Linked DNA regions of Coturnix japonica. The protein of the gene in region 3 purifies or fractionates together with the protein of the main gene of each other region. This does not show direct contact. Links are inferred from orthologs where the notes say so. Each region holds a gene or a part of one and is shown on either strand. Other genes may lie near its edges. The genes, in order: CLU, PARK7 and SNCA.

Region 1 (7,254 bases), on a different chromosome or scaffold from region 3:
TGCACCTCCATCCTCTAAATCCCCATCCACTGCATCCCCTGCACCTCTCTCCTTCATCCCCCTTCCCATCTCCTGCAGCCCCATCCCCTGTATCCCTACCCCTTGTATCTGTTGCATATCATCTACATCCCCATCCCCTGCATCCTCTCTGTCCCCATCCCCTCCATTGCCCATTCCCCCGCTCTGCATCCCCATCCTTTACATCCTCTACATCCTACCCCCTGCATCCCCACTCCCTGCACCCCTATCCCCAACTCCTGCATCCCCTTCATCCCAACCCTTGCGTTCTCACTCTCATCCCTTGCATCCCACCCCCTGCAACCCCATTCCCATGCCCCACACCCCTTCACAGCCCTCTCCCCACCTCACCCCACACCTCCACAGCCACGCACAGCTCCCATCTTGCCCCCCCTCCCCGCCCCCTACCCACCTACAGCCAAGATCTCCCTGCACTTCTCGCACTCATCCCTCATCCTCAGGCAGCCAGCTGAGTTGCGCCGGATCTCACGGCACACCATGCGATCAGTGCTGAAGTTACGGGACTCTGAAGAGAGCAACACATTAGGGAGCTCCCCACACCAAAACGTGGCCCAAAATGTGGCCACAGAAAGGACAGCATTGCCCAGATTGATGGATGGATGGGGAACCATGGTGGGTTGGATGGGGACCATGGTGGGTTGGATGGGGGACCATGGATAGGAGACCGATGGGTGGATGAATGGGGGAATATAACTGGGGGCAGTAGGTGGATGGGAACAATGGATAAAGAACCAATGGATGGATGGGAGACCATGGATGGATGGGAACAATGGATAGGGGACCAATGGTGGGGAACCATGGATGGATGGGGGACCCATGAATTGGGGAACCATGGGTGGATGGGGGACCAAAGGATGGATGGGGGACCCATGGATTGGGGAACCATGGGTGGATGGGGGACCAAAGGATGGATGGGGGACCCATGGATTGGGCAACCATGGGAGGATGGGCATAATGGATAGATGGGGGACATAGATGTGGGACATCCCCTATTCAGGCCATGGTCCAACGAGCCCAGATTGCACGGCAGGGCTTTTGTGATTCATTCAAGGACTTTTTCCAGGGAAGTTTGACTTCACCTAAAAACATTTCCTGGCCCCAAACGAGATGTTTTCCGGACAAGAGCACTCTGTGCCAACCTCTGTTTTGCAATCAGCCCTGTTCCCAGCTGCCCTGCGTGGAGCCATGGCTCTGGCCCAGCAGACAGTGACGGAGGTGACAACACAGGGATGGTGGCAACATGGGGACAGCCCCCGATAAGCGCATCCAAACCCAACACCAACTCATCCCTTTGGCATCTAACCCCCGTGAAGTGCAACTATAGGCAAAAACCACCTCAAAACCCATCCCAGTTCTGCTAATGTCAGAACCTAAGACTCCCAGGTTTCCACGTGGATTCTCCGCTGTCTCATATTAGGGTTGAGCTCATCCTCCACGCTGACAAGGAGGTGGAACCATGGTGGTGCTGCGCTCCTACCTGTCGCAAAGCCCCCCAGCGGGTGCTCCCAGGCGCCGTGCCCCCCATCCAGCATGTGCTGCGTCATCTCAAAGAGCGGCTGGAAGAGGCGATGGAAGCCATGCATTGGGTGCTGAAAGAAAGGGTGCAGCTCTCGGGACAGCCTCCTGCGTGGCACCAGGTGGACACGTTGCACAGGTGGGACGAAAGCTTCACGGAAACCACCAAAGGGAGGCGTTCGGAAGAAGGGGAAGGTGGGCCCATAGAGCTGTGTGCTGTCCTGGAAGATGTCCTCCACTCCATCCTCCATCAGCCCAAAGCGCTCCTCCAGGTCCTCAAAGCGCCGCTCCTGCCGCTGCTCCCGATCCAGCAGATCATCGATGCGCTCGCCGTTCACCCAGATGGAGAAGGGCGAGGAGCGGTTGAGGAACTCCTCCAGCTGCAGTGGGATTGGGGTCAGCTCAGAGCCCAAAAGTCCCACTGCCCGCTATGATACCCCCAACACAGCTCACCTGGCGGCCCACCAGCCCCGAGCCGCTGTGGCACATCTTGGAGTAGACGCGCATGCAGGTGTGTTTGAGGCAGGGCTTGCACTCCTCCCACAGCGACAGCATCGTCTCATTGCAAACCTCCTGCTTCTCTGCCAGCTGCTTCTCCTTCTCCAAGGCCAGCTTCACTGCTTCCTGCATGGCACAGCACACAACCCCTCACAGATCAGCTCCCTGCAGCCCTGCTCCACCAGCCCTCCCCACCTCACCCACCTCCTTCTTCTTCTTGGTCTCTTCCAGTGTGTGCAGCATGGCCTGGTGCTCCTTGCTGGTCTTGTCCATCAGTGTCTTCATTTGCTTCACCCCATTGATGGCGTTCTCCACTTCAGCGTCAATGTATTTGCTGCCGGCTGCTGAGAGCTCTGTGGGGAGGGTGGATGGGGGGATGGATGGAAGGGAGGGAGGGAGGGAGGAAGGAAGGATGGGAGGGAGGGAGGAAGGAAGGATGGGAGGGAGGGAGGAAGGAAGGATGGGAGGGAGGGAGGGAGGAGGGATGGAAGGGAGGAAGGAATGGAGAGAGGAAGGGAGGAAGGAGGGATGGATAGGAGGATGGAAGGGAGGGAGGAGAGATGGATGGATGGGAGGGAGGGAGGAAGAAAGGATGGGAGGGAAGGGAGGGAGGAAGGAAGGGAGGGAGGGAAGAAGAAGGGATGGAAGGGAGAGAGGGAGGATGAAAGGGAGGGAGGGAGGGAGGAGGGATGGGAGGGAGGGAGGAGGGAGGGATGGAAAGGAGTGAGGAAGAGAGAGAGGAAGGTAGGAAGAATGGATGGATAGGAAGGAAGGGAGGGAGGGGAGAAGGGAGGGAGGAAGGAGGGATGGAAGGGAGGGAGGATGAAAAGAAGGGAGGGTGGATGGGAAGGATGGAGAAAAGCAGGATGGGAGAGAGGGAGGAAGAAAGGATAGGAGGATGGAAGGGAGGGAAGGAGGAAGAATGGGAGGGAGGGATGAGTATCTCACTGCTCCCAAGACAAACTGAATTTCCCCCAGTGCATGCAAACATTTGCTCACAATAGTCAAGTTCACAGAGAAAAGTGACTTAGAAACCAAACCTTAACCCAGCTGGGGCTGCATCCCACTGCCCTCTGCAGACAGTATTTGGGCAGCATCACCCATGGGTTCCCCCCACCCCTGCCCAGTAGCCACCTTCAAGCATCCAGTCCCACGTACCCAAAGCCCCCCCCCCCACTTACGTTTCAGCTCATTGGGGGGCACAAGGCCTTGCCCCTCCTGGCAGACGAGCCCCAGGCCGAGCAGGGCGAGCAGCGGCAGCTCCATGGTCCAGTCCCAGAGCAGCTCGGACCTGCGTGGGTGAAGGCAATGAGAGGGATTGGGATCCGGGCACGGGGCCGTGAGTCAGCAGCGGGCACCGGGCCACCGCCGTGGGCACAGCATCGGGTAGGGCTGTGCCAAACTCCAATGCAGCCAAAGCACCGAGCAGGACTTTCTTCTCCTCTTTTTCTTCTCCCTGTGTTCACACGGGGGGGGGGGAGGGAGAGGAGGGAAGGATATCGGGAAGGGCTGGGGGGAGGCAAAGCCGCTATGGGGCAGCCCCCCAACAAAATAAAGAGCGTTGTGCAATAGCTCAGCTGCAGTGTGTGGCTACTAAATGCCCCAGTAAGAAAGAGTTGTGCAATCAGCTGCACAGTGGGGCTCCAGCACCGTCCCTGGGGCTCAGGCCTTCCCTTGGGGGGAGGGGGGTCCTGGCCCCGTGCCCCCACTGCAGCAGCATTGCTGCTGCATGGCCCCATTGCTGCCCCACAAAGATACTGCTACCTCCCCCCAAAAAACCCTTATTAACACCCCCCCCCCCCCCAAAAAAATGCTGATCATCCCCCAAAATAACTGCCCTCCTCCCCCCAGAGAAAACAACCGATGTCCTCCCCCAAAGAAAGAAGTGATGCCCTCCCATCCTGCACACAGCATTGTGGGAAACTCCTGCTTGGTGCATCACAGCCCTTGGCACAGACAGAGGGCAACTATAGGGGGACATAGCTCTGCCTCCATAGTGGGTCCCTATGGAAGGGAAGGGAAGGGAAGGGAAGGGAAGGGAAGATCCTACCTGCGCTCAGTGCCGGCTACCCCGGGAGCTCCACTGCCCGCCCCCACCCGCCCCCTTTTATCCGGCCGGCCGCTGCGGGTCCGCCCAGCTCCCAGCCCGGAGCTTTCTGGAACCGGCCCCCCTGTGTCGTTCCCCCCCCTCCCCCCGATATCCGCCGTCTCCCCGACGCAGCGGGGATGGGCGCGGCTTCGCTTCCCCTCCAACCCTCCCCCTTTATTGGGGAAACTGAGGCACGTAGTCCCTGTTTCCACTCCATGCCTCCAGCATAGGGGACGTGCCACCAAACCCCCACCTCTCGAAACGAGAAGCAAAGGAAAGAATCCCATTGTAAAGAATCTCAAAAGTGCCCAGCGCATCCCCCGCAGCGATAAGCGAGCGGGGACCAACGGGATAAAGCAGCCCCGGGGTGGGAGGTGGGGTAGGGGGGGGGGAACAACGGGGTCGGAGCGGAGACGGGCAGTGGGAGGAGCGGCCACGGCGGATGGCGGGGGGAGGGTGGAGAGAGGCTCCGCGAAAGCGAAACGAAGGTACGGAGAGAGCGAGGCTGCGGCTGAACGGTGCGGGCACCTGGGGGGGGCTTGGGGGGTGTATAGGGGTGTATAGGGGCTGTGTGTGGGTCGCTGTACGTGGGGGATGGGGTGGGATGGTCGGAGGGATGCGGGGGGGGGTTCTTGGGGTGTATGGGGTGGTTGTGCATAGGGGTGCGTGGAGTACGGGACTCTGTGCATAGAGGTGCGTGGGGATGCACGTGTATATGGGGTGTTTGTGTTTGTAGGGGTGTATGGGATGTTGTACACGTGGGGGTGCATTGGGGTATGGGGCTGTGAGTGGGACACTGCATATGGGTGTGGGGTTGTGTGTGGGACGCTGTGCATAGGGGTGCGTGGGGGTGTGGGGTGGAGTGGGGCGCTGTGCATGGGGGGTGTATATGGGACACTGCATAGGGGTGTTTAGGGGTGTGGGGCTGTGGGTGGGATGCTGTACATAGGGGGGTGTGGGGCTGTGTATGGGGCATTGCACAGCGGTGTTTGGGGGCGCAAGGTTGTGAGTGGGACACTGTGCATAGGGGTGCATGGGGGTTCATGAGGTGTATGGGGTGTGTAGGGTCATGAATGAGACAGTTATGCATGGGGTGAATGGGACACCCATGTATAGGGCTGCAAGAGGTGCATGGGGATGAGTAGGGAACTTGTGCATTCGCGTGCATAGGGATGCATGGAGGTGCAGGTTCATGTATGGGACACTTGTACTGAGGTGCATGGGTTTGCATATGGCTGCAGGGCTGCTCATCCATGGGGGTGTGCATGGGGCTGAACGTGTCACTCATGCATAGGGTGCATTGGAGTGCAGGGCTGCATATGGGATACTTGTCCATAGGGTTATATAGGGGTACACAGGAGTTCATAGGGATGCAGGGCCATAAATGGGACACTCATGCATAGGGGTGCATGGGGAGTGCAGGGCTGCATATGGGATACTTGTCCATAGGGTCATATAGAAGTGCACAGAAGTTCGTAGGGGTGCAGGGCCATGCATGGGATGCTGTGTGTGTGTGGGGGGGTGCTGCAGCTGCACTTTGTGTTCCTATTTCTGTGTGCTGTGCTCAGTGCTCAAGGTTAACGCGGGGGAGGGTTTTGCTATCAGTTCTGCTCTCATAGCAGCTCTGCTCTTCTCCCACAGACCTCAGTACCAGCTGCAGTAGGAGTGGACGTCGGGTGAGCTTACTGCTCTGTGGGCAGAAGCACCACCTTCTTCACCTTCCCTTTTCCTCATCCTCTTCCTTTGAGGTGCAGACCCGGAGGCATTTCTTCTCTTTCTATCAGTTTCTGAGCCCCCAGCGCATATCTGTGGGCTCAATGGAGTTCCGGAACAGGAGCATCAGGCCACGGATGGAAAGGTACCATGGGATGACGGAGTTCCAGGGTGAGCACAATAATCCATGGGTGGAGGAGTTCAAAGAGGTGTGGGCAAAGTACGACATGGACTGTGGGAAGGTGAAGGAGGAGGTGGAGGTGGGTGAGGATCCAGTGCCGTACCAAGAAGATGAAATCCCACCAGACTTGGAAAGAAGGATGGCCCCGCTGTTGGATCAGATGCTGAAGGAGGGCATCGTGGAGCCAGGCAGGTCGCCCTCCAACAGCCCTCTGCGCCTCTTCATCAAGGACAACGGGGCGACGTTGCGGCTGACGCTCGACTTCAAGGGTATCAACAGCGTCAACCACCGGCAGCCAACAGAGTCCCTGGACCTGAAGGAGGTGGCGAAGGTGCTCAGCCCTCGCAGCCGCTATTTCTCCTACCTCGATCTGTCCTGCTGCTCCTTCGCCATCCCACTGACGGCTGCTTCCAAGCTCAGGTTCGCCTTTACCTTCCGAGGGAGGCAGTATCTGTTCAACCGCCTGCCACCAGACTTCTATCTCACCAGCAGCATCTTGCACCGCCGCGTGACCCGCATGCTGGCCCAGCTGTCTCCAGAGTACAAAGGCTGGGTGTCTTCTTATGTAGATGATATTGTCATCTCTGGGAGAACCCAAGAGGAGACCGAGTCCCTCACCAAGGAGGTTCTGCAGCTGATCAGATCCACTGGTTTTAAACTCAAGCTGCGGAAGGCACAGCTGGTGAAGCCTGAGGTGGACTACCTGGGGCTGAAGCTGTCGGCACGTGGCTGGGAGGTACAGGAGAGCAAACGGAAGGACATTGCAAACACCCCGACCCCATCGAACCTGAAAAGCCTCCGCTCGCTGCTAGGGAAGATGCGCTTTCATCAGGACCACGTGGAGGACTATGAGGAGCTGGTGTGGCCCCTGGAGCAGCTGAAGAATGAGAAGTGGCAGTGGGGCAAGAAGCAGCAGGAGGCGCTGCAGAGGCTGAAACAGGCCATCCTGACAGAGCCGGTGTTGCGCTTCGTCGATCGGTCGCAGCCGCTCATCATCAAGACGACGGCGAGCAGCAAGACAACGGGGGCTGCTCTGCTGCAGGAGAATGAGAAGGGGCAGATGGTCCCCGTTTGGTTCAAGTCCAAGGTGCTGGAGAAGCACCAGATGTCCTATTCGCCCGAGGAGAAGCACTGCGTGGCGGTGCTCAGAGCAATGCATGCGTTCCAGGACCTCACAGGGTCAGCTCCCATTGTGATCCAAATGCCCGGTTCCCCTTGG
Region 2 (6,457 bases), on a different chromosome or scaffold from region 3:
GGGAAAAAAGAAAAGACCTGTGTACTTTCCTGCAAGTGTTGGTATTTGCCTTCTAAGCCAGGAGTATTAAAAATAAATTCCTCTGTAGTGGTGCCATCTTTCCAGATGAGTAACAGCAGTGTCTTAAGTCTTATTTAGTTAAATTTTGAAGTTACGTTTCTACAGCTGAGGTAAACCAGACTGAACATGAGCTGAAAACAGTGAGTAGAACTAGAACAAGTCCTTTAGCCAGATCACAGAGCTCCAGTGTCCCCTTCAGTATGAGTAGATTTACAGGCAATGGTCTTACATGACTTAAGTAATTTGGTCACATTCCCCTTAAAAATCCAAAGTAATTAGGTTTGTTCCAGCACTCAGTGGTTTTCTCTGAGGGTCACCTTGCTTGTGTATTCCCAGACAACGCAAATTCCTGTACTTTGGGGAACAAAATTTGCACCATCCAAAAGGAACATTCTGTTTTCCAAGTGAGCCGTTGGGCTCCAGAGCTGCGGGGGTAACTTTGCAAGTTCTGGCCAGAAGGCATTTCTGTGTTCATCCCCTCACACAAGATAAGACCTGTCAGGACACAACGTGGTTTTGCAACGTTCTGATCGCGTTTGAATATTTAGAGCTTGGGCTCACCTGGGCAGGGCCTGACAGACGCCTCTTAAGAGGAAGATCCTTCCCAGAGAGATTTCACAGAAATAATCACCTTTCAAAGCAGCTACGACTCAATACGTGAGTCTGAAGAGTCGAGGTATTTGTGTAAAAACAAGAAAGAAAGAAATGTATTTACAGAAACACAATGCTTCCACAACTCACTGAGCTGAAAGTGGGCTGCACGCCACCTGGAGGCCTTTTTCCTGCAGCAGCATTGCTGTGGCTACAGAAGCACGTTCATCAAAGTCCCACGGTGAATCCATGATCATCAAACAGACCTTAGTGAGAAGAGACTGGCAGCAAGGTCAGCAACAAGGGACGTGGGGGGGACACACCTCTTACCCCAGGCTCAGAACTGGCACAAGAAAAAGCTCCCTCAACAATCACTGGAAGCAAACATCCACCATATATATTTTGTGAAAGGGTTAATTGGGCTAGAAAATCAGCCAGGAGCTGCATCTAGCTGGTAACTAAAGGATAAGCTGTTTGCCTCAATATACCTTTTCCTGAATAGAAGAGGTTGTGTTAGGACCCAGTGACTTAAAAAAATGCCATTAACCAATTTTTTCCACGAGGATAACTTGCTCTTAAGCAGCTACTGCCAGGGAGTACAGCACAGCTTTTGTAGGAGGTCATTTTAAATGTGTCCAAGACTGATATCTGAAATTCAGGATTAAGACAATGACTGGACATGGTGCAATTCCCACTCAACAAAATCAACTACAGACTGAGAGCCCTACAAACACTTCTAAAAGACACATGCTCAAGTTTCCTCCCTGAAATGACACCAGTGATCAGCACCAGGATGCAGCATTCTGTACATGGGGTCTTTGCAGTCAGGCATTCCACTGATTTGCTGTGTGCTGGACATTCCTGCAGAACAAAGCCCCCGCTCGCACCCCCTCACCTTTAGCCCAGCTCAATATTGTTTGCTCCATAGCTTGTTTCCCCCAATAGCTTACACTCATATAAACTGTATGGTAAATTTTCTGTTTCTCATAGTTCTTTGGCACTAAATCTAGCACACGTATTTTAATTATACTTATTAATATTTGCTAAATACCATTGCAGAGATTTCTGGCTGCTGAGCTTGTGATTAGCATTTGTATAAACTGAGCGAGGTGTTACCACCACCCATCCTGCATTGTAATTCAGGCTTTGCATAATAACTGCCTATTTTCATCCACACAGCTCATTACTTCTTCTGAATCATATATGGAAGCCACACCTGTGATTGCTCATAGACTGCTGCTCTATTATTTATATATTGGCATGCACCTTGATCCTAGTTGTGGTTAATTTTGAGAAAGGTGTTAGATATTCCATATTTTAAGTGGCATGTAATCATTACTGCTATTCATTTTCTTACAAAGTGATTCAGAAGAAGAGATGCTTCCCTGCTGAAAACCTGCAGCTTCTTTGTGAAGATCTCTCAGCATTATGGCTGTCACCCACAGAATGTCAGCACCTTAAAGCTGCAAAGGAAAAAGAGTGCAAATATATTGCACAGAGGAAAAACATCAGAGGAAAAAAGAAAGATGCCAAACAATCCCACCCTGAATTCAGATACACAAAGAGCCACCAGGACAAAACACTTTGAAGCCATCAATGCACAAAACATTACGCTTACAACCATCAGGTCTGAACCCCCTAAAAACAAAAAAGAAATGATCGATGTAGTTTCTTAATCTCACAACAAGCTGAAGAGAAAAACCAGCACTACTGAGCGTCCTTCCAGAAAACAAAAGGCACAACCAAACCTACACAGCAAACAGCCTTAATGCCTTAAGACCAGGGAAATTCCCAGTTCCAGAGAAGGGCACACCAGTCTGTGCCACACTGAGTCGGATTATCACACTGCACAGAGAAGTGTGAGCCAGACACTAGTGATAAGCAAGTTACTCACTGCAGCCCCTGCTCGGGACTGGGGAAAAAACGCACAAAGAAGCAACAAACAATCAAGGTTGTTTCATTTTTATTTAATCAGCAAACATTTGTCCACGCGATTTTGAAATGCCAGGATCTAAGATTATTTAGTTGCTAATGATAGTGAAGGTCTTTGCTAACAGAGTTTTCTTCCAGGAATAAACACTGGTGAGATGTCCTAATTTAGGTGAGCACAGCTGTTAATTTCATCCACAACTACATTGTGCATCTCAGTTATTCTACAAAGGACAAGACTCACCACCTGAAATTGTTCTACTCCATGTCCCACAACAGCATTTCAGTCCTTCAATATTAAGGGTGCCTTCACTTGTTCAGCCACCTCCTTCCCCATCAGTACTTCAACAATGGCCAACCCAAACTCAAAGCTCGTACCAGGGCCACGGCTGGTGAGGATGTTCCCATCTTTCTCCACACGGCTCTCGGAGTAGGAGTAGTGAGCTTAGGGGTGACACAACAATAAGAGGGTCAGTCTCCATTCCAGTGACACAGAGCACAGACCTGCCTGCTCACAGGCTACGGCAACTGAGGGGCAGCAAGCTCCACCAACAGCATCGCATTCTTGAGTACACACCTCAATGACTCACATGAGCCAAGCTCACTCTGGGCTCTGTATCCCTGTCCCTGCAGAACCAAGCAACTCATCGCTGCCTACAGTCCTCAGAGAGGAAAAGGCCCTACAGGGAGTTCTGCCAGCTTGTTCACATGGCATATAAGTGCACCTATCTGCAAGCTGTTGAATTTTGATTATGCATATGAAAGCACTAAGGAAACTCTGAGATACAGAATGAGATGCAAACGTTATTTACTTTTCTTTAAATGAAGAGTTAGGACAAAATACTTTCCGAGTTTAGAAATAAAGCTATAACATTAATTACATACCTCCATTCATCATTTTATCTTTGGCCAAAGGATGTGTTGTGACTTTGCTTCCAAATCCTATCCCATGTGCCAGGAGGGCAGTAGGGCCTGTAAGGACACACACACATCAGTGAGAAACTTATCTGCTACAAACATAAGAACACGCATCCAGGGGCTCAAATCTCACAGCCTTGGTAAGGATTATCTGATAAAATTTCATTTGAAAAGGCCTTTATGTGCTGGAATTGTGCACCAAGCAGCATTTTGGACAGCTATGGGTTAACAGCTAACCTTCCAGTTTTTACATTCTCTTTCTCTTTCCATCACTTCCTCCCTTGCCTGAATTGAGGAAGAAACTTGTGTAAAGTTGTCTTAGATCACCCAAGAAAAAAATCCTTATGGGAATTCCAGAAGAAACTGAATGCAGGATTTGGCTGATTCAAGTGTCATTTCTGCGTATCTGATTCATTTCAGAAAATGAAGCAACAAGGAAATAACTTCCCTCGTGTTCAGCTGGAAAAGTTCTGAAAAGCACTACACATAAAATAAATGAATTGTTCTGCAACATACGGGTAAAGAAGGAAAAGACCACCAGAGCCACACTTAGGACTGCTCACAAATTCATGTGTATTGCTCAACTGAAGAACGAAAACAAAATAAAAAGCAGCCACACACCAGACAAAACACAAACACATGCTGCAAACACACACCGTTAGAGCATCTCCTACACAGTTATCATCACTCTCCTCATTCTCCCCTACATAGACCACTCTCTCTGTTCAGCTGGGAATATCGGCATTTATTCATCTTGTTTTTTCTTTAAATACAAACCACATAAAGAACTGAACTAGATATCTAGCTGTGCAGAACATGTAAGCAGACAACCCTCACTGTAGAGTAACTCCATATTTTAGTACCACTCCTTTGAAGGTGAGCCTGTAACACTATATTTTCAGCCACCCTGCTGAATCTAAAGGGCAGAAGAGGAGTCATGAGACAAATTTATAGTAACGATGTTCAGCCAGCACAGCGTCCTCACAGAGAAAATAACCAGATACTAAAAAAAAAACAAACCAAAAATCCCTAAACTAAAAACCAAATGTAATGCTGTAACACAACAAAAAGGTCAGCAATGACAGCAGAGTAACAAAGTCCCAGACTGCAGCAAGTGAGGATTTACTCAGAGGTGGCAACTGTACTCACAGAAACCAAGAAGACCTCAGGTACACAGGGAACTCCAGAGAGATACCCCCACCTCCACTGGGAACCCTTAAATGAGGGCTGGATCCTGACTCCACCCAATCCAATCACCCAGTACATTGCCTGCACCTGAGCTCCCCTGGGTTGGCTCTGCCTTCCCACCATGTGCTCCATCATTGCTTCAGGCCACTACAGCATTTCCACTACACCCAGCAAATTAGTTGTCACTTTTTAAGACACTAACCCAAATGACTAGAAAATCCAAATGCTGATGGGTTTGTAGAGCAAATTTCTGTAACTAAGTTACAAGAATATAAATTTCTAAGGCAGGATACCCGCCTGCCTGTCCTTTCAAACACCCAAGTATTTATCAAAGGAAAACTTGTTACTAACCCACCTGCACATATTGCAGCAATCAGGCCTTTCCTGCTTTCCTGATCCTTCAAAATGTCTTTAACAGCAGCAGACTGTAAAAGATAAAAAGAAGCCGTTGCTTTGAGTTGATTATTTGGGTTGAAGCACAGTTGAGGCATTTTCTACTGCAAATTCATGAACAAGATTTACAAAGAAAAACAGCTTGACAGCTTGATCCCAGGACTTTACCTCTGACAAGTTCTGAGCTCCAAGGTTACCTCCAGGCAGGACAACGACATCGTAAGGTCCCTAAACAGACAGATAAAGCTTTGATGAACAGAGGGTGACCTATCTGTCACATTGTTCTAGGGACAGCACAGCTAAGTGAATTGAGAAGCAAAGGGATCCTTCACTGAGAAGCCTTTTCTTTCACCAAATCTGATCTTGGCCTGCTGTAAAATAGGACAAGACCAAAGGGGCCAATGTGCAGCTCTGTGAGTCACTATGGCACAGTGAACATAACATGCAACACATTTCTAAAGGCCTTAATTCAGTTTTGAAAGTCACAGGAAAGGCCATACTGACCATTGTATCAGTTCAAGGTGATGACCAACCTCTTTTCTGGCATCCTCTAAACTGGCATCAGGACAAATGAAGACATCTCGACTACACTGCACCGGTTCCTTCCCAGTTAGGCCTGCAACAGTCACCTTGATCTAACAGAAGAACACATCTCTCATTACAATTCATGAATTAGAGACATTTGAAAGGTTTGTACTTCTGACAGCACCCAACAAGGAGGACGTTAACAAAATCACGAGAGCATTGGGGAAAGGTAATTTTTATTTCAGTCATTTCTCTCAGTGTTCTCTTATTGTATTTATTAACATTTTATTTTCATACCTAATCAGACAATAATACTGTGTACAAGTACTGATGCAAACGTAACAAACATGAGGAATCCCACCAGGCAGAGTTCAAGTTAATATCAGAATTTTAAAAGCTGAAGGAGAGCTGTGTAACATCAGAAGCTTGAAGAGAACACAGCTCAGAGCCCTACAAAACAAATGAACCTCCGTGCTGCTCTGCACAGCAGCAGACATGTTTGGTAGGGTACGACTTACCTGAAACATCTGCTCGTTTGCTTTAGGCTCACATCTTAAACACTTCCTAAGGACAAATGTTATTCATCCTTATTTGGTGCTTAACACAACTATTGGCTAAGCAGTAAGAAGGCTCAGAACATCCACATCTCGCATCAGAGCACACTCTGAACTTGAATTCGAGGCACAGATTTTGATTTACCAAGTAATCATGGAAAGAAATAAAAGACTTTTCATCGTCCACATACTCACCCCAGCTCGTCTCATGACATCCGTGGGGATGACGGTTTCCATTTCCTCTGCCCCTTTTGCCAGAATCACCAATGCTCTTTTCGAGGCCATGTCTGCAACTGGCA
Region 3 (7,025 bases):
AATTTTGTCAGGCTCTTTGCAAGATGTCAGGTAGCTTTCACAACAGAATCTCACTGTCTGACTGCAATTTCTATCTGAAAAAAAAAAACAGCTACAGAAGCAGGAAGAAAGAAACCTTTTGAATCCCTAACACACTGTGCTGCTCCTTCTCTCCAATTATAGAGTGTGGTGGTTGTTTTTTTTTAACCACCTTCCAGATTGCAACCATTATCAGCCTAGAGAACCAAGAGATATCACATCAGTCTTTGTTATGCTGTTCAGGAAAAGAGCTGCCCCTGCTGTGTGCTTGGGAAGCATAGAGACATCCTCAGCTCAGAAATAGAGGGGTTCTGAGCAGCCTGAACATGCTGATTTGGCAGGGAACACAGAGCTGTGACCCAGTTTCAGCTGCCCTCTGCCAGAACCTAGCCTGCACAGAGGTCCCCAAACACCACTACAATTCGCTGAGCCTATTGGTTTCTGCTCTAATGTTTACCCTCCTTGTTTTAATTCTGGCCTTTCCAGTTGCAGCTGGAGAACCCAAGGAACCAATAACCCAGCAAGTTTATTGCTTGGGTCCATTTCCTAGTCGATCATTTTGAAAACTCAGCTATGGAAACCTTGGCTTGCTAAACCCAAGCATGCACCCAGACACATTACCTGTCAGAAACCTTGAGGAGCTGTTCTAATGAATGTGCTTTCTGCCTGCATGACTGAAACTGCATATAGCTCGTTCTTCCTGAAAAGCATTTATCTGCTGCAGGAAAGGTTCTTGCTTCACATCCCTGCAGTTGCATGCACAAATCCTCACTATGGCTCAAGGCTTTGCTGTCCAAGGTATTTAATTTGTGAAATAAACAACAAGCCCACCCTATGCCTTAGCAAAAATATCTCTGAAGACAACAAACAGGAAATCTGTTGCCTTTTGGAGGACAGCTAGTTCCAGATGTCATTACAGTCAGGAGAAGAGGTCAGGGACAAGAAGGACTGTTTCAGCACACAAAACAGGTTTCTAATACAAAGAAACCAATGACCCTAAAACCACACTCAAGATAAACAATAACAACAACAACAACAAAAATTTAAAAAGTAAGCCATACCCTGAAAACTGATTTTAATATCAAGTATGATGTGCAGTGAAAGAACAGCTATTTTGATGCTGAAAAATGAGCAGATGCTCATTTTAAAATAGATTCATCTTACAACTGCTTTTTAAAATGACTTCCATCTCTGTCGGCAAAAGCACCAAGCTTAGCTACGGCTCAGGAGGAGAAAAATATATTCCAAATGAGTAGTCTAAACTACGTGGAGTAGAAATAATTCATTACAGACTGGCATCAACCTGCAAGGGCAGAAGGAATCCTGGAAAGATGTACAGAAACATCAGTTCTTCCATCTGTTTTTTTGGTTTTTTGTTTTAAACTCTGTTCAACTTCTTTTTAATATTTGTACACACTTCCCCAGATAAAAGCAGCATCCATTACAGAATTGACTTGCTGCCAAATCATAAAAAAAGAACGAATCTACAGAAAAGAGTGTATTTTCCTTCCTATTCTACTACCATGCAACTGAAATTAACTTAAAAAAAATAAAATGGAATTCCTCCAGTTTAAATGACCTATTCATATGTTCTTGGCAGCTTTTTTCCTGTTCATTTTTCACTATGGCATTTATGAGACAGTACTTTAAGGCCTGGTAGTTTCTAAGTGAAGACGATGATTGTGTCGTCAACAGTCCAATGTGAGATTTGAAAAGAATCTTTCCCCGGGTTCCATGCAAAGTACTCGCATAGTCTGGGTAAGTCAACTAACATCTGCTTCCCACTTTCTCCACTGTCTCAGTGACCGTAAAGGTTCTTCTTTGAGTAGCCATGGAAAATAGCTGCTGAGGATATGCAATAGTAAGTATAGAACATTAGGTTAACTTTGAAAAACAAGGAGCTGACACCTCACCATTCAAAATGTTACTGCTGAGGACCTTTATTTAGTGAAGAAAGAAAACAAGCTCCTTTCTATGGGGTGTACAGTTATCTTCCTTCTACTCCAGGAAAAGACATTGGCACGTCTTAGATTCAGTTCCAGAACCAACATCTCAAGTTTTTTCTTTAAAAATCCTGCTTAAAACTCAGGCATTCTACAGGATTCTGTGAATTTACCTCCCATATAGCAAGCATCTTAAATAGGGCCAGTCAGTAACTTGCATTGTAAGGCCTCTTCCAACAGGCAAGTTTATCCTGTACAACATTACAAATGCAGCCCCATATGACCAGCACACACAGTGACAAGAACCAAAAAAAAATACATGACACACAACAAACAGCAATCAAACAAACAAGCAACAATCGTCAAAGACCCTATGCTCAGGAGAGTTCAAATCTCATCATGTTTACTTTGCAGTTAATCCTCTCCTATGAGTGATTACATATTTCAGAGAAGAGAGAGAATTCAGCTCTTTCTTTCAGATGAGCGGGGCTGTCAGGGTACACCAATCAGCAGCACAACCTCACTGCCCACCTACCCACATAGAGGACTCCCTCTTTCGTCTTTCCTGCTGCTTCTGCCACTCCCTGCTTGGTTTTTTCTGCTGCTGCTACAACCCCTTCCTTTGCCTTGTTAAGTCCCTTCATGAAGACATCCATGGCTGAAGGATTTCTTCACACAACACTAGAAAAAAAAAAAAACAATACCAAACACACTTTAAATAATGGTTCTCAGCTTTTTTTTTTTTTTTTTGCCAGAAAATTTTATTAAAACTGATTGCACATCAAAATACTTTTGAAATACATTATTTATACTCACATATTATATAACTTCCATCTACATCCGTATTAGCAATATACACATACCTCTCTGTATCTAGGATCGCTTTCAGTATTTCAGATAGACAAAAAACAGTTAAATAACTAGAAAACAAAGGAGCTCCATTACACAACTCACCTTTACATCTCACATGCTACCACAGAGCAAGTTCAAGTTAAGCAGTATGGCTAAGGTAGTCCCTGAAAGGCCCAGGAGTTCCCACAGAAACGTACAGAAAGGTCACTGATAACGCAGTTCTCATTTGAAGTTGCACTCACTGAAAGGAACAAATCCATTCCTTGCCTACCACCATCTCCTCCAAAGGACAGTTTCTTGTCTATTAACTACAAGATCTAATCCCATCATTCGCTGATGCTCCACCTTCTCATTCAAAGGAAAAACTTAAAAACTAACAACTTTACAAACGCTTCTTCTAAATGAGAAACGTTCGCTCATTGTTGTTTGAAGAACCACTAATGTTCCAGAAGGACTTGAGCAAACACAAAACTGCTTTCCAGCAACCCAGCATTTTGCATGCAGCCCATATTGCTCTGCCAGCACTTGAGCTTTCAAAAGGGATCCTGCACATGCATCAAGACTAAGGAGGAAAAAAAAAAAAAAGCAAAGGCAAGAACATGCTACACTAATAACACCACACTACAGCTAGCAAGTAGGTTCTGTGGCAGTTATACAGCCCTACGCTACAATTAGGCCACAAAGACAGTAATTAAAGCCAGCAAGACACCCCTTTCACAATCCCGTCGCCGACAGCCCCTTCCCTTTCTCCCCCTCCCCCTCCCAGAAGATGCACTGCCTGCTAGTTCTTTCCCTCCGCCGGAGGAAGGGATGTCTAGGAAGACAGTGGGGAGCTTGCTACTAACCCGTGGCAATCAGAAGGGCAGAATCCGTGCCCCACTGACACCGTAGGCAGCACCGAGAGCAGGTGTGGGAGCACCTGGGTGCAGAGCGAGGGAAGAAAGCAGTACATGGCTACGTGGCTCAGTCTAAATAAAAGAATGGGCACCTGTGGAGGAAGGAAGAAAGAACGCGCAGGGCTCTCCCACATGTATGTGTCTGTATCTATACGGACTATCCGAGGAGAAGGGCAGGGCTACGTGAGCACATAAGCACCCAGCGGCTCCCTCACACGGCAGCCGCGGCGCCCGCTGGTTTCCCCTCCCGTTCCCTTCCTCCTTCGTGCCCAAAGGAGAACACGTTGAGCGACAAATGCACCTGTCCGCACACCCACCCCTGCGGCTGCCCAGCCCCAGGGCGAGCAGAGCCTCTCATGCACTCCCCACCACCTACCGCTGGGTCCGCCGCTGCAGGAAGGCGGGGGGAGGCAGGGCAGGAGGAGGGCGAAGCGCAGAGAGACCTGATGGGAGCTGCCCCTTCTCAGCACATCGCCAACTCTCCCGACGGCAGCAAGGCAGGCAGCGAGTGTGAAGGAGAGGCAGGGTGCGGGGCGGGGGCGGTAGGAGGAGGGGCCGGGGGCGGTGGGGCGGCTCCCAGCCTCCATCCCCTTCTGGGTGGGAATGTGCTGCGGGTCGGGTATGCGTCGTGACGTGGGGGTGGGAGGTAAGGATAGGAAAGAAGAGGGGAGGCTGAGGTCCTGGTCATCTCGTGGCACCACCTGTCCGCTGTTCGCCCCGGCGGCTGAATCACAGCACTCAGAAGCAATGCGAGCAAGCTGTTGCTAGTGAATTCAGCACACCTGTTTCGCTTCACCCACGGCTCAGAAAACGCCCCCGAGCTCTTGGTTACTTATCTTCCTCTCGTAAGCCTTCAGGCCGGAGTGACTTGAGGTGAACGCTCTCAGGATTCACGCTCCCAGCTCATTTTTAAGGATGGCAGGTAATACTCTTGTAGGTAAAACAAGATCCTTAACCCCACAGCATAATATAATAAAATCTTTGTCTAAACAAGGATGAGAAGCCCAGCCTCACACCTGTTGGTCTCCATTGTACAGACCAGAGCCACTGCATTTCCCCTCTTGGTCTGTTACACTCAAGTCACTTTTCCCCAGAAAGGGAAGGCAATGTCACTTCTCTGCATTGCTGCAGAGCGTAGGCATGAAAAGCCAAATTCAGTGGAAAACAAGGTATTAGAACAGATGGACCTTCAGCATCAGTACATCAGTCAGCATGCTGTACAGATCCTGCAAAACCTTGCAAAAACAGTTTGTTCTGTCATTGCGCTCCAAAGGAGAAGCAGAGCTTGGTACAGATGAGACACAGGGATGTGAGCTGCACAAAGCACCTTCCATCCATCATACTGGGCAGACAGCAGACAGGTTCCTGCTTTTATTTCCATTCTGAGCACACAGTGCAGAGTTTTCTCTTTTTCAGGTTTCTTAATGTTTCTTTACCGCTTGGTAATCTTCCTTGGGATTCATTCCACTACTACATTTAACCAAGCAAACATTTGGTGAAATGTATTTTTTTGTGTGAGAAGGTGCTGACTGAGAACACAAACCATTCCTTCATAATTCTGCTCTCCAGAAAATCCTTAGCAAATGATCCAGCAATTGCACATCCTATTCATCATGAGCTACACTTTACTTGCAGTCAAGGTTGAAATTGCAGAAATAACACATTTTACATGAGCAACAATAACATCTCAAATTAATGACTTTGTCTGGCTAGATAGTCAGTGTTTGAGTGGAAAGCAGCTCTGTCCCCCTGGGACCTTAAGTAAATCCATACTCTGAAAAGCAACAGCTCAAGTGGTACGGAAGCCAACACAGCAGCAGTGCATTTCTACTCAGAGACAATAGATGAGTAGGTGATCAGAGACTTCAGATGAGGCCGTCCAAAGGATCCCTGGCAAAGTCAATGCTGATTGTTCTTTAGGATGTTTCCCACTACATAGCACCAATGAGCTGACTATGAATGAGAACAAATTCTCTTCCTCATGCACGATGCAATACATTAGCCCTATCTGATATAACTGACTGTGCTAATACTAGTGAAGTGGGAATTGTCATGCAGGATCAGCTCTGATGCCCGTCTAGTCTCCAATCCTGTTTCAGATAGAAGCCAGCAATGAAGGCATCCAAGGTCAATGATAACATAGTATGCTCTGAAGTAGCCTGCTTCAAATCTAGGTATCTGAGCCAGTGCAGTCACAGCACATTAATTACCTGGATGGCAGTGTTTCCCAAGAGATGTATCAGGAAAGCAGCAGCTTTAATTAGATACTAATGTTAGTCACCAGCAAACTGTTTAAACAAGTGCAAAACTCAGACAGTAGCATACTTCATTCCAACCTGTCTTCTTTTTACAATTTCTAAAGGGAAGTAGACAGCATACAGAAGAAAAGTAATAGTTTTCAAATAGGTTGTGGTTTTGACAGAGGTATTAATACACCAGAGTTGAGGAGCAAGTGAGCAATCTATGCACGTGACTGCATCTTTACAGAAGATCCTTTTTCCATTTTGCCTACAAAAAAAGTTCCCTTTATTGCTGCAAGTCTTGTATCTGACACAATAGAAACACCTTATCTAATGGTCATCAAAACTTTCTACGCAGAAATTATTTTATTGAAAATTTGGCAAGTGCACAAATGCAAATCTGCAGCAATATACAGAAAAAAGTAAAGACTGCACAGCTTGATTTATGTTTTGCTGCTTTAAACTGCAAGAAAAATTGAATGTAAGTACTAAGCATTAAATACGAGGAAGCTTCAGATTCAGATGATACTGAGATGGCAGATACTAACAGACAAAAAACAAAATCTATTGAGTTTGGCTTCAGACAATACAGGCTAGGATTTGATTCAAATCTAAATACATTGTTGTCCTAGCTTATTCCCAATCTAAACAAATACTTAATTCCTGGAGAATTTTAGAAGGAAAAAGGAATAAGTATATGAAAAGGAACAGTAAGTAAAACAGGTAAGCTACTCACACCAAAAATCATCAGTGATCACTGCCTGCCTAGGTATCAACTGACCTGAGAAGTGAGAGTTCAGCATCTCTGTGGCTTTTTCTTCCTTTCTCAGTGAACTTACATTAGGGTGGATTGCTTCTTTCCAGTTTCTGCTGTAATCTTCTCTTCTCTTTGCTGTCAAGGTTTGCAGGTGTTCAACCTACTGCTAACATACCACAAGATACTGCATTAGTCACTATAATTTCAAGATTCTCGGGAGAAAACAAACAAACAAACAAAAATAAAACAGTCTGATCTGCTGCACGCCTTGAAGATTCTTGCTTTTACAGTGGTACAGAACTGTCTGCATCAAGATGCA

Evidence for each region.
Region 1: the proteins of SNCA (region 3) and CLU purify together in Homo sapiens (affinity purification with western blotting; 3 studies listed by BioGRID and IntAct, with this or other methods). This does not show direct contact. The link is inferred for Coturnix japonica from reciprocal best matches to the Homo sapiens genes SNCA and CLU.
Region 2: the proteins of SNCA (region 3) and PARK7 purify together in Homo sapiens (affinity purification with western blotting; 3 studies listed by BioGRID and IntAct, with this or other methods). This does not show direct contact. The link is inferred for Coturnix japonica from reciprocal best matches to the Homo sapiens genes SNCA and PARK7.

What each region holds. Positions count from the first base shown.
Region 1 is NC_029518.1:96,031,133-96,038,386, reverse strand, and holds the start of CLU (clusterin), read right to left. Parts: upstream 4,474-7,254; 5' UTR 4,459-4,473; coding exon 4,103-4,458; intron 3,344-4,102; coding exon 3,234-3,343; intron 2,797-3,233; coding exon of another isoform or gene 2,766-2,796; exon of another isoform or gene 2,764-2,765; intron 2,406-2,763; coding exon 2,257-2,405; intron 2,179-2,256; coding exon 2,008-2,178; intron 1,935-2,007; coding exon 1,517-1,934; intron 545-1,516; coding exon 431-544; intron 1-430. Other genes in the region: uncharacterized protein LOC107312362, read left to right, coding at 2,766-2,796, 5,783-7,254.
Region 2 is NC_029536.1:194,604-201,060, forward strand, and holds the end of PARK7 (protein/nucleic acid deglycase DJ-1), read right to left. Parts: exon of another isoform or gene 6,446-6,457; 5' UTR 6,444-6,445; coding exon 6,354-6,443; intron 5,715-6,353; coding exon 5,613-5,714; intron 5,308-5,612; coding exon 5,248-5,307; intron 5,112-5,247; coding exon 5,042-5,111; intron 3,553-5,041; coding exon 3,466-3,552; intron 3,025-3,465; coding exon 2,864-3,024; 3' UTR 2,598-2,863; downstream 1-2,597. UniProt on the Homo sapiens protein: Multifunctional protein with controversial molecular function which plays an important role in cell protection against oxidative stress and cell death acting as oxidative stress sensor and redox-sensitive chaperone and protease.
Region 3 is NC_029519.1:31,288,614-31,295,638, forward strand, and holds the start of SNCA (alpha-synuclein), read right to left. Parts: upstream 4,254-7,025; 5' UTR 4,086-4,253; intron 3,823-4,085; exon of another isoform or gene 3,802-3,822; intron 2,643-3,801; 5' UTR 2,618-2,642; coding exon 2,497-2,617; intron 1-2,496. UniProt on the Homo sapiens protein: Neuronal protein that plays several roles in synaptic activity such as regulation of synaptic vesicle trafficking and subsequent neurotransmitter release.